Coturnix japonica: one gene and its partners. The protein of the gene in region 2 purifies or fractionates together with the protein of the main gene of each other region. This does not show direct contact. Links are inferred from orthologs where the notes say so. Each region holds a gene or a part of one and is shown on either strand. Other genes may lie near its edges.

Region 1 (4,551 bases), on a different chromosome or scaffold from region 2:
GATGGAGGGCTACAAAGATGGTGAAGGGCCTGGAGCATCTCCCATGTGAAGAAAGGCTGAGTGAACTGAGTCTGTTTAGCCTTGAGAAAAGACAACTGAGAGGGGACCTGATCCAGGTCTATAAATATCTGAGGTGTGCGGGGAAAAGTGGCGAGGCCAGACTCTTTTCAGCAGTGTGTGGAGGCAGGAAATGGACAGAAACTGGAGCATAGGAAGTTCTGCATGAATGTGAGCAAGAACTTCCTTACAGTGAGGGTGAGGGAGCACTGGGACAGGCTGCACAGGGGGGTGGTGGAGTCTCCTTCTCTGAAGATATTCAAGGTTCACCTGGACGCTGAGCTGAGTGACCTGCTGTAGGGAACCTGCTTTGGCAGGGGTTGGACTCGATGTTCTCTGGAGGTCCCTTCCAACCCCTACGATGCTGTGATTCCGTGATTTCATAGCCGAGTTCCACACGTCGGGTATCTCCCAGGTCCCTTTACACCAGTCCCACCACATCGGTGTGCGAAGCTCCTCCGGACACTTGGAGGCCCTACGAGCCGGGCCAAGCTCTCGCTGTGAGCGGGACCCTGCGGGGCAGTCCGTGCGTTCCCGCTCTCGGATCCAGTTCGCGGACTTGGCAGGTGCTGCGAGACACCGCCGGCTGGAAGGGGCGGCACAGCGACCGCACAGCGGCCGCCCCGAGGCCGCCCCCCGCCCGCAGCGCGCTCCTCCCGCCCGGAGCCCTCAGGGCGGCGCCCAGCAACTTTCCCCCGCCCGGGGTCGATGGCCCCGCTCCGCTGCCGGCCGCAGCTCCCAGCTCCCGGCACAGCGCCCCCAGCGCAGCGCCCCCAGCGGCGCGGAGGATCTTTGCGGCGGAGGAGGGAGGGGCCGGGGGGAGCCCCAGCGCCGTGCCCCCGCCCTCCGCCGCGAGTCACGTGGGGAGGCGCCGACCAATGGCGAAGCGAGCTGCGGCTGGCGGCCGCCATTGCTGTCAGAGTGGAGAGAGGCAGAGGCGAGTGTGTGAGGAGGAGCGGGTGAGCGGGGCCGCCGTGCGGGCAGCGCCAGGCGGAGGGGGGCGAGGACGGGCACGGACAGCGCTCCCACTCCGGGCCCGGGCCGCCGCCCGCCTCCCGCAGCACCGGGAGACCCGCACGGAGCGTAAACAAGGCGGCGGCGGCGGCAGCAGGAGGAGGAGGAGGAAAACACCATCCACCCACCGCCAGCGGCGGCAGCAGCGAGGGGCGGCCGGGCGGGGCGGGGAGGGACACGGGCTCCGCACAGCGCCCCCCGCCCGCCGTCGCCGCCACTGCCCGCCGCCCTCCCCCGCCCCGCAGGGGCCGCCGCCGGACCGCGGGAGGAGCCCCGAGCCCCGCCGCGGCCGGGGGGGCCGGCGCTGGACGCGGAAGAAGGGCCCCGGGCCCCCCCACCCCTCTCCTCCTCCTCCTCCTCCTCCTCTACCTCCTCCGCGGTGCTGAGGCGGCCTGGAGGCCCGCGGGAGGGCTGCCCGCCGCCGCCGCCGCCTGCTGAGCGGCCCCCGCCGGAGCGGGCCCCCGCCGGAGCGGGCCCCCGCCGGAGCCGCCTGAGCGCCGCCCCCCCGCCCGCCGGCACAGCAGCGCTCCCGGGGCAGCGGGCAGCGCCCGGCAGCGCCCGCAGCCTCCCCCCGCCGCCGGGCCCCGCTCCTCAGACATGCCCCGCGCTGGGGCTCGCCGAGGATCATGACTGCAGCGGCCAACTGGGTGGCGAACGGGGCCAGCCTGGAGGATTGCCACTCCAATCTCTTCTCGCTGGTGAGTGCCCGAGGAGGTGAGGGGTTGGGAAGTGGGGGTTGTGGGGAGGGCGGGCCGGCACGGCGGCTCGCACCGGGCGCTGCGGGTTTGGCGCCGGGTGCGGCTGCCGGGGGCTTTATAGCCCGGGCCGTGGGGCTGCTCCTCCGCTGGCCCCTCCCCCGGCGCGGCGCCCTCGGCCGTGTCTCTCCGTGTCTCTCCGTGTCTCCCCGTGTCTCCGCTCGGTGCCCCCGGGCCGGGGTTGCTCTATTGTCGCTGTGACAGCAGCATTAGGGCGGCAGCGGGCGGGCACGGGGCGCTGCGCGGGTCTCGGGCCGCTGTCAGATCCTGGTACGGCCCCGCCTGGCACAGTGCCTGCCCCGGGACACCATGGGTGCAGAAATAATCATTTATTCCATCCCTGGGGTGAAACAACCGAAGATGTTGTCTGCCGGGTAGCACTGATGCTGTATTTCTCCGTCGTTGGTAATGGACAACTTTGTACTTGGATTGATTGTTTGGTTTAATGGTGCAGGAATTATGTTATTGGCTGTTTCCACGCAGAAGCAGCGTCCCTTGGAAGCCGGTTTACCAGCAGGCTGTGCACCTGCTGCCCACAGCCCCTGTTTCTGGCTGGGCATGGCCGTGCTGGGGGGGCTGGCAGCCAGGTGGGGTTGGGGGCTTGATGTGTGTGTGGGAATGCACGGTGCGGGGTGGGGATGGAGGGGGGGGCGTTGGGCCCTTCCCCTCTGTGAGCGCTGGATGTGGCTGGTGGTGGTGGGGTCTCATTTCCAGCAGAAAGGAGGGGAGTGCTGTTGGTTGTCTTGCAAGAAGGAAGGGAAAGAAGAAAATGGACTGGAAATGTGAATGATGTTTTTGTTGAACGTTTTTCTTTTCATTGCTGTGTGTCATTGTTATGCCTCCGTCTGCTGGCTTCTCTGTTATTTTGTTGCTCTTATTTGTTACTTTGTTCATACCTATGGAGAATGTGGAGCAGGAGCCCTCAGCGCTCAGCTACTGGGAAAGGAGTCCCGGCCTCCTTCTGTGGGAATGAATGCAAGTCTAATTTTGGCTTTTTCATGAACTTGTTCCATCACCTGGCCTTGTGCATGGGCTTTCCCTTGGCGGTGCTCTCTGAGCCGTAACTGCATGTAGGAAGCAGTGCTGTGTGTGCAGAGCTGTGGGAGCTGTTGTGGGGACTTTGAATGTACTGCTCATACATGTGAAGGAAGAATGGTGAGCATGAGGGAGACGGCTGTATGGATGGACAGAGGAACGGAGTGCTCTCTGCTTTGTGTACGGAGCCGTGAGGTCCCCATTTATTCATGGAAAAGTGATTATTTTTGAGGTGTGTAACTTTACATACTTGCAAACTGCAGGTCTGCCTTTGGTTAATAGAAATAATGGTTGGCATGCAATTGGCATCCGTCATGATCTGAAGTTACTACATAGTGACTGCAGCGTGGTCTGTCTGCTTTGTGTTTCACCCTGCTGTGCTGGGGAAATGGGAGCTTTTCAAATAGGGCTGTGATCCCGTCAAAATGCAGGTGGGCTTCATAGTAATTATGATTTTAATTTGTGATCTCTTTGTTTCTCAGGTAATTTTGTGGGAGGCATCCATACCTGTAATGTGGTACTGTGCATCCAGCTGTAATGATTTTATTATTTTCAGGGTCTACTTGCAAACAGAAGAATATCCATTATGTATATACTTGTATGTATGTGTGTGTATGTATGTATACACACATATATGTATATATACATATACATATATATATACAAATGTGCTAACTATTGGTGTGATTTGTTTTCAGGTAAATTGATATTTGTTATGGTTTATGTATCAGTGAAGGATACTGAAGAAGGAAATAGGGACTGGGAGTGCGTGGCCAGCAGAACTGACCTTACAGCCTCAAATTGTCCTACTCATTTAAAAACTTATGAAGTGTTAAAGGTGCAGTAGTTGGGGTTACTAATGGGAGAAAGTTTTGCTCATCACTTACTCTTTCAGTGCAACAGAACAGAAACATGCACAAATGAATCAGCTGTTGATGGGAACTCATTCACTTTGTAGGAGTGAGGTGAATTACTGAGCTGTATGAAACCCATTCTGCCATTAGACACTGAGTATTACAGTTCATTGTAAATCTCCAGCTTCGTTTTGGGCCTGAGTCAAAAAGAAATGTTCTTGCCTGGAGAATTACAGTTCAGAAATAGTACTTCTGTTTGTTCGTGTTGAAGCAATGTTTTTCCCCACAAACATTCCCTTTGTCTAAGGAGGAACAGCAGCTCCTGTGTCGGAGGAGCTGGGCTGTGCTGTACGACTGAGGTTGGCTTTGGGGTGTTTGTCACCCCATCATTTCCAGCTTGTTTGTCTGTCAGCTGTAGATGGACTTTAGAGAGATGGTGGCACTGCTGTTTGTTTGAGTCTTCATGGGGAAATATTCCTGGAAGTATCTTACTGTCATGAAAAATATTTTCTAAAGCTTTCTAGTAACTGTTTACGTTTTGTCAGTGGTGCCCGGAATGTGTAGAGGCTCTTAGTTTAAAATATGCCACCTGAGGGGAAGGCATAGTCTTAAGGTTATAAAATGAGCTCTGATCGTGCACATATCAGAAGTGATGTCCGGCACCAGCAGTGGTGTTCAAGCAGGTGTGAGGGGCTGCTCTCCATGGTGTGCTGTGTTGGCAAAGAAAGCTGAGCCATTGTGGGAAGTGGGTTAATGTGAGTGGTTGGGCAGGCAGCCTGCACATGGAAACCTCAATGTCTGCCCTAAACATAAGCGTTTCTTAGTAAGGCGATACG
Region 2 (3,854 bases):
AAACTCAAAGCAAAGCAATTCCTCCTACTACTTTCGAGTTAGAATATAATGGAGTAAAATTGATGCACAGGACTACAGGAACAAATTAACTTGCTCACGCTTATTTTTATTCTGCAGAGATATTTTTTTTTAATTATTATTATTTTATAGATCTAAGTCAGACTTGGACAAATTGCAAACATTCCTTCCTGGAACAGAAGACTGTCAGCTACAATTTAAGGGCAGAGAGCCAGATACAAATTTAAAACTGGATAATCAGATCAGACAGTTTAGCAAGTGATGTAAAGGGAGCACACAGATCATTATTTCACTGCCTGTGCTGTTAAATCCTAGAAGGAAATGGTCATGGGAGGTAAAAAAGAATTTAACCATCTCAAAAAAAGGAGAAAAATTAGATTTAGACTGCTAAAAAACTTGCAAGGTGGAAACTTGCCAACAGTTTGGAGAGCTGTGCAAGGATTCTGTAATGAACATCATCTAATGCAGCACATCAGCTCTCAAAATGCAGATCAAAACAGACCAGCCATAAATACTATGTAGTCAGACAGCTGTAGTGATCTGTCCAGACTTCAAGCCTGCCTGGAACTTTTCAGAAAGGAAACCTTGTTGTCTTTAACCTTACACTGCCCTCAGTACCTGTGTGATAATTTGCAATTAAAAGAGTAAAAGAGAAATAGGAGAAAAATGTCTGGCACTGAGAAAGCAGTTGTGTGTGGAGGAGGTACGGGTGGAGAAGCCAAAGCAATTGCAGAGTTGCTTTGTTTTGTTTTAAATCTGTTTAAAATAGCCTGAAAACGTTTCTTGAACATGGTGCACTCTTGAGGGTTGGTAGCAAGCAGAATCCCTAACATGCTTTAAAACATACCTTTACTAAGCTAACTTCCTTTTATCTGATTTGAAGAACGTGGTTGAATCAACTCTTTGGACACTTAGTGTCACTTTTTCAGAGAAAAGAATCATAATTCTATTAAGCAGAGACAAAAGTTCAAGTCCAAAAACAATTCAGTGATACTTCTTTTATGTATGAATGCTACTGAAGCAAAAAGCATGAAAGCTATTCAACCCCTGCCACAACAGAGATTACACACGCTCATGCCCTGCTTCAGCATGATTCATACTGATGAACCAAACCTGTGCTATCATGTAGTCTAACTTTAGAAGTAAATTTAGTAAGATACTGGAACAAACTACAGAATTGTTCCATATGTGTGATGATACGAGGTAAAACAAAGCAGAAACCAAAGGAGAAAGCCTGGCTCTAATTTTGACTTGCTTCCCAGAATCTGCCTCTCACACAGGACTTAACCTTGCCAAGAGCCAAGTATTTTGAATGTGATATGATGCAGCATTTACATTCATGAAATAGTTGCAGTGGCTTCGCTAAGATTATTCTCAAATAAAGCTACACACATATTTACATGCTTTCCTGGGGTGGTTGAGTCCTCAACACTTTAGAGGGTGAAGCAGACGTTTTTACTTCCCTAATAGGCTTTAAAGCTGCATTTTTATCTAATGTATCAGAGCACGGAGCTAAGGTTATGAGGAAAATTCATTAAAACATTATATTCATATTTATTGCAGTGGGGAACAGAGAAAACAACATTTTGCCTCCAATCAATCAGAAGCAGCAAAAATTCAAGAAGTACCTGATAATCTGAAGGCATGACAGGCCCGCCTGAGTTAGCGCCTGAAGGCCCTATGCGTGGTTTCTTGTTTGGAGGCACCTGGTTGAGGCTGGAGTCCTGGCTGTGCTGGAGTCCCGCACCCGCGCCCCCTCCGCCCGCACCCGTGCCCCCGGCCGTCCCGTTGGTTTGGGTGCTGTTCTGCTGCTGCTGCTGCGGTTGCTGCGGTGCGGCCTGCGGCTGCTGCTGAGGTGCTGTTTGCTGCTGATGTTGGTTCTGCTGCTGCTGATTCTAAGGGAAGAAAGAAGTGACAGCACACCATCATTCGCTCTGTACTTGTTTGTGATCCTGACAGAGTCACTAAGCTGGGTGCCACTGTGCTGCTGGAAAGGCAGCAGGCCCACGTGCTCGCCAGGAAAGCAAGGCCAGGTAATGCATAACATGAGCTCCCTGCGTGCTCCTGCCTGCCTCAAATTGGGGTATCTCATTTGTGGCTCACTTCTTTCCATTGTGGTTTTGTGTTGTTTTTTCTTTGTTTGTTTTTTAACAAAGCAGGATTGACTAGAGTTGGCATGACAGCTTAGTGATTGCTGCAGCTAGGCAAGCACTTAGGCCAGAGTAACAGTGAGCAGGATGGAAGGAGCTATTTATAAACACTTAATAAGCAGAATCAAAGCGCCCCAAATTTCACTGGTTCTCAGTGGCAGATGTGGCGAACCACAGTACATTTTCCTAAGTGCTTTAACAGCCCCATTCACTTAGAACTAAAACCACTTTTCCAACTTCCACAGATGATGCACTGCAATCATCCAAAGGAGGCTGGCAGTGTTGCCATCAGAAAGGTAAGCAAAACAAGACCAGAAACATTACATCATTTCTTCCAGTTACAAGGAAATTCTGTGGCAGAACCAAAAGCAGGTTCCATTACCCTTTTTCTCTCTTTCTTTTAAAAGCACCTTGGAAAGAGTGGTACATTGGGAACACAGTCCAGCATGGTACCTAGCTATAAGGTCTGAAAATCTTACTGAGACAGCAGGAAGTGACAAATGACCAGAGAGAAACAGCTGAAAATAGAAGAGAAGGACAAAGGTGAGATAAGAATCTGGCATGAGAAAGAAAAGAATAGCAAAGGAAGAGAAGTGAGGCAATTAATACAATACCATGGCCTAACAGGGAGAAAGAGCAAAGTGCCACAGAAGGGAGGGAAAAAGTTAAGGAGAACACAGAAGCAGAAGAGTAAAAGGTGCAGCTCTTCTGGTTTCAGAAGCTATGGACTGGAAAAAGCATTAAGGTCTAGAGAGGTTAGAAAAGTAGCAAAATTGCAACTCTTCTCCCTATGGTTAGACACTCACAAGGAAAGACCACCTGTGTTTGTCTGCTTTTGAGCATTACAGAAGACTCCTCCAAGAGAAGAAGCAAGTAAGAGAACTGCAAAGAAAAGCAACTGTGCTCCTAATGTCAGGTATGTAACCTGTTCATCATAGAAAGCTCTGCAATTTTCATGTCTTGAATTAAAAATCCCTACATTTAAGTCACACCCCCCAATCATAGTGTACTGCATGGGAGTGTGGAACATTTCAGGATAGTCTTTTTTCCCTGTGATATCTGCTTATGTAGTTCTCAAAGGTTTGGTATGGCAGCCTTTATTACATCCTCATGTTATCAGTTAATCAGAAATCCTGACAACCAACTGCCACTAGCACTAAATTGCTGATGCTCTCAGTCACGGCAAGCCATTTCAGTTATCTCAGAAAAATGACACAAAAATCTATATCTATGCCACTCATCACAACAGTTTCCCAAGATATAATCAGATCAAATTTGCAACGGTGTATTCATTTAAAATCTCAAAGATCTTAAATTTGCCTCTTCAAGGGCTGCTGGATGATACGTATTTCCATTTCACACTGAGCAAAACCAGTAATACATCCTACCACTAGTAATCCTCAAATGTCATCTCAGCCAGACTCTGTTTCTACGGGGATTTAAACTGTAAGAAGTTAAACAAAAGTCTGAAACAGGCTTGTCATAGAATGCGTTAAGAAGTAATTTATCTTATAATAGCGGTTTGAGCTTCACATACCAACAAATGCCAATGACTAAGGCAATATCTGTGCTAGATTCTGAGACTTGTATTTTCATAAGGATGCTGGGATGTGAATGAGGTGGTCGCTACTTTCACAGTGGAAAATTATTGTTTTTTTTTAATTTTTTTTTTTTTTTTTTAAATTA
Region 3 (3,908 bases), on a different chromosome or scaffold from region 2:
GGTTCAAAAAAAAAAACCCAACGATTTTAATACTGATTTCTTGTCAGACAGCTTGTTAATTCAAACAGACGCGGTTTCCTGTACGTTTTGGATAGGAGTGCTGCATTCAAACAAGAATCAGTAACAGATGTTTACATTTCTTTTAAAAGAAGTCTCTCAAGGCACGGTGTGTTGGCATATTACAAACTATCTTTTGTTCTCGGTGTTTGACACTTATTCCCCAGGAAGAGGTGTGAATCTACTGCTTACACTGAGATAAATGAAGTCAGAAAATCACACTGTTCTGTAATACTACAGGGTTGGGGTTGTTTTGTTTTTTGTTTTATTTTATTTTTTGCTTTAATTCCTTTTAAACTTTTTTGAGGGGGAATATTTATTTTAAGATTTTTTTTTTTTAATGGAATGTACTAATTAAGGGAATTCAGTGAAATGTCATGTTAATGCAACAGATTTTGTATTAAAATTCTGTACTTGGACCAGTGAAGCAGTCTCAGGTGTTCTTAATGTAATATAGAAAACACAGGCGTGTTCTGGTTTGATTCACCTTCTGGAAGGTTGCTGTCAGCATCACCCTGTCCAGCTGATCATGGGAGGAGAACTGTTCATGTGCTTGATGATCTTCTTAGGGGGCAGAGGTGGTGGCAGATCAGTGGTTTGGCCTAGATGTGTTCGCTACAGGAATGTGGTGGAGCTTTTAAACGGGTGTCTAGCAGAGGTGCTCTTTAAAATTCAGCTTCAATGTAAGTCATATGGGTTGTCTTGTAGTGCATCACCAAATCAACATTATTGTAATGAGCTCACAAAGCTGCTGTGCAAGCATGAAGACGTACTACATGCTAGATATGCTACGACAGCATGCAAATACCATGGATGCACATCTTCCTGGAGTATTGTTAATAGCTGTCACTTTATTTGAGGAAGATCTACTTTATTTCTGTGTTCACTCAGTGAGCTTATTTAAAGTAACGCTGTACTGACAATAAACAGTGGCTCAACGTTCATTATGATGGATTTAACTGGCTGTAGAATTAACATTTTGTATTATGACTAAGTCGTGTACATTTTGGTACAGAACTTCTTTTTCAGTTTGAGTAAAATAATCCTAGATTTACTGGCTTAATTGTGATACTTTCAGATTACCTCATGATGCAGTGAAATAACCTAGCAAACAAAAGGTTAAGGAAAACTGTCCAGCATACAGTGCAGTATTAAAGACTGAAGTGGGTCTGTGATACCAGCACTTCTCACCTGGTATTGCAGAAGCCGTTACATTAAAAAAATCCCTTTACAAGTACATCAAAGTAAGAGGAGAACCAAGGAAAATGCCCAACCTTTACTTGATGCAGCGGGGAACGTGATCACTGAGGAGAAGGCTGGGATTCTCTGAGGAGGAGAAGGCTGAGTTCCTCGATGCCTTCTTTACATCTGCCTTTAAGGGGCAGTGCTGTGTGCTTGGGGATGAATAACTGGATGTCTGTGAGGAGGAAAGGGAGCTGGTCGATGTTCGGCTGCTCCTCACCGCCAGGCCGCACTGTGGCGCCCGCCTCCTCCTTCAGGCCTTGCCTTTCTTCCCGCCGCCATCTTTACCACAGCCGCCAAGATGGAGGCGCCTCCCGTCACCATGATGCCCGTTACGGGCGGCACTATTAACATGATGGAGTACCTGCTGCAAGGTATGGCCGGCACACAGGGGCTGTACACGGGGCTCGGCCGCAGCGTGGGGCCGAGGCGGGCGGCGAAGGGGAGGTACCTCCCCGCGGAGGCCCCTTCGCCGCCTGCCTCGGCCCCGCGCTGCGGCGGGGAAGGGGCCATCGTCTGAGCCGTGTGTGTCCACCACAGGGAGCGTCCTGGACCAGAGCCTGGAGAGCCTGCTGCACCGCCTGCGTGGGCTGTGCGACAACATGGAGCCGGAGACCTTCCTGGACCACGAGATGGTGTTCCTGCTCAAGGGGCAGCAGGCCAGCCCCTTCGTGCTGCGTGCCCGGCGATCCATGGATAAAAGCGGCATGCCATGGCACCTGAGGTACCTGGGGCAGCCGGAGATCGGAGATAAAAACCGACACGCTTTAGTGCGAAATTGTGTGGACATCGCCACCTCGGACAACCTGACGGATTTCCTGGTGGAGATGGGGTTCCGTATGGATCACGAGTTCGTGGCTAAGGGACACGTGTTCCGAAAGGGGATCATGAAGATTGTGGTGTATAAGATCTTCCGTATCTTGATGCCTGGTAACACGGACAGCATCGAGCCGCTTTCCCTCTCCTACCTTGTAGAGCTTAATGTTGTGGCACCAGCCGGACAGGATATGGTTTCTGATGATATGAGGAACTTTGCAGAGCAGCTGAAGCCTTTAGTACACCTGGAAAAAATTGACCCTAAGAGGTTAATGTGATGAAAACTGGCTTGACTATCATAGCATTGCTGTAGCCAGAAGTGAGTGCAGGGACTGGTTGGAGTCCTATGCACACAGAACTTTTGTTCAGGGCTCCACTGCTTCCTCTCTGTGCTGGAGCAGTAAGCAGTATTAAGGTGCAACACTTATAAATAGAGATATTGACTTTATGTTGTTGGGGAGCAAGGGGTAAAAGGCTTTGATGTATTGGTTTTGTTTTTGTTTGATGCTCAGCCAGCATTTGGTATTTGGTTATGCAGGTTACATATATGCATAAGAGCAGAATGTATGTAATTCCCAGAGATGGAAGAGAATAAAAGTCTGTTTAGTGCATTATTCATTGGATAGTCGGTCCCTGATGTCTGAAAGGAGTAGTTGCAGGAATTGCTTAGTTTTAGATTTGAAAGACCTGAAAGATTCCCTCCTAGCAAATCCAGACTGGGAGCTGTTTGTTATTGGAAGCAGCTTTGTTGTTAGTGTAGAACAGGAAGCTCTGGGTCTGCAATTATAACCTGGGGGGAAGAAACAGAATTAAGACCCTTCACAGCCAATATGTTGGCTCAGAAAGTTGAGCCCAGTGCCCCCGAATGTGCCTGTAGAGAGTCAGGTGGATGGGGCCAGGCTTTGACTGTTGTTGCCCAGTGTTGGGACACAGGAAGGTCCATCTCAAAGTGAGGAATTACTGCTTCATTTGGGGGTGACGTGGAGCAGGCTGCACAGAGAGGCTCCTTCCTGCTTACAGCCACTTCCATCAGCCCAGCACGATGCATTAGTTTCACAAAAGCAAGGTCAGGCATCCCACTATTTCTGTGTTTTTGTGCTCTTTGTATGTTTTATTAAAAATATATCTTCAAAAATACCCGTCAGCTATTTGCATTAATTTTGTATTTTCTTTGCAATTCTTTTTCACTCAATACAAGCCAGTATTTTGGGCAAACATGAAGTAGTCTTCATTTCTCAAGATCATTATGGAAACGTACAACCACGCTGCCTTTTACTAAAACACACCAATTGCTGTCAGTCGCTGTCATGCTTTAACAGCACGAATGTTGCTGTATCTCCAGCACTCCTCAGCCCTGGGTCTCCATTCTCCCCACACACTCTCCCCTAATGTTGTTATTTCTGTACAAATGAACACAGAAGCTGAAGTACAACTTTGGAAGCACTCTATATTGTCTAACATGCTTCTGATATGCGAGTGCAGGGTGAGACGTTTCACACATCAACAGCTTATGTGGATATTCCAGCTTTCACTTCAGCAACCTCGGTAACACAGTCAAGCTGCTTTCTGCTAAGTGCTTTACATACACTGTAGTGTATGTGTATGAAGCGGCATACAGCTTCAGACACAACCCAAGGGCTGGGTACGGCAGAAGATACTGAAATAAGTCTCCTTAAACACTAGAAAGAACAACAAAACAGGGTTTTTTTTTTTCTTCATAATTTTTAATACTTTTCAACTTTAAATACCGGTTTTAAATTTGTGATTGTAACATAGAAGAGCCAACTTTTTGT

Evidence for each region. The genes of interacting proteins can lie anywhere in the genome.
Region 1: the proteins of CDK19 (region 2) and MED13L purify together in Homo sapiens (affinity purification with mass spectrometry; 5 studies listed by BioGRID and IntAct, counting the BioPlex papers as one, with this or other methods). This does not show direct contact. The link is inferred for Coturnix japonica from reciprocal best matches to the Homo sapiens genes CDK19 and MED13L.
Region 3: the proteins of CDK19 (region 2) and MED18 purify together in Homo sapiens (affinity purification with mass spectrometry; 5 studies listed by BioGRID and IntAct, counting the BioPlex papers as one, with this or other methods). This does not show direct contact. The link is inferred for Coturnix japonica from reciprocal best matches to the Homo sapiens genes CDK19 and MED18.

Annotation. Positions count from the first base shown.
Region 1 is NC_029530.1:10,336,796-10,341,346, forward strand, and holds the start of MED13L (mediator of RNA polymerase II transcription subunit 13-like), read left to right. Parts: upstream 1-1,595; 5' UTR 1,596-1,697; coding exon 1,698-1,769; intron 1,770-4,551. UniProt on the Homo sapiens protein: Component of the Mediator complex, a coactivator involved in the regulated transcription of nearly all RNA polymerase II-dependent genes.
Region 2 is NC_029518.1:60,491,947-60,495,800, reverse strand, and holds part of CDK19 (cyclin-dependent kinase 19), read right to left. Parts: intron 1,914-3,854; coding exon 1,647-1,913; intron 1-1,646.
Region 3 is NC_029547.1:21,930,307-21,934,214, reverse strand, and holds MED18 (mediator of RNA polymerase II transcription subunit 18), read left to right. Parts: upstream 1-1,487; 5' UTR 1,488-1,600; coding exon 1,601-1,673; intron 1,674-1,839; coding exon 1,840-2,393; 3' UTR 2,394-3,252; downstream 3,253-3,908. UniProt on the Homo sapiens protein: Component of the Mediator complex, a coactivator involved in the regulated transcription of nearly all RNA polymerase II-dependent genes.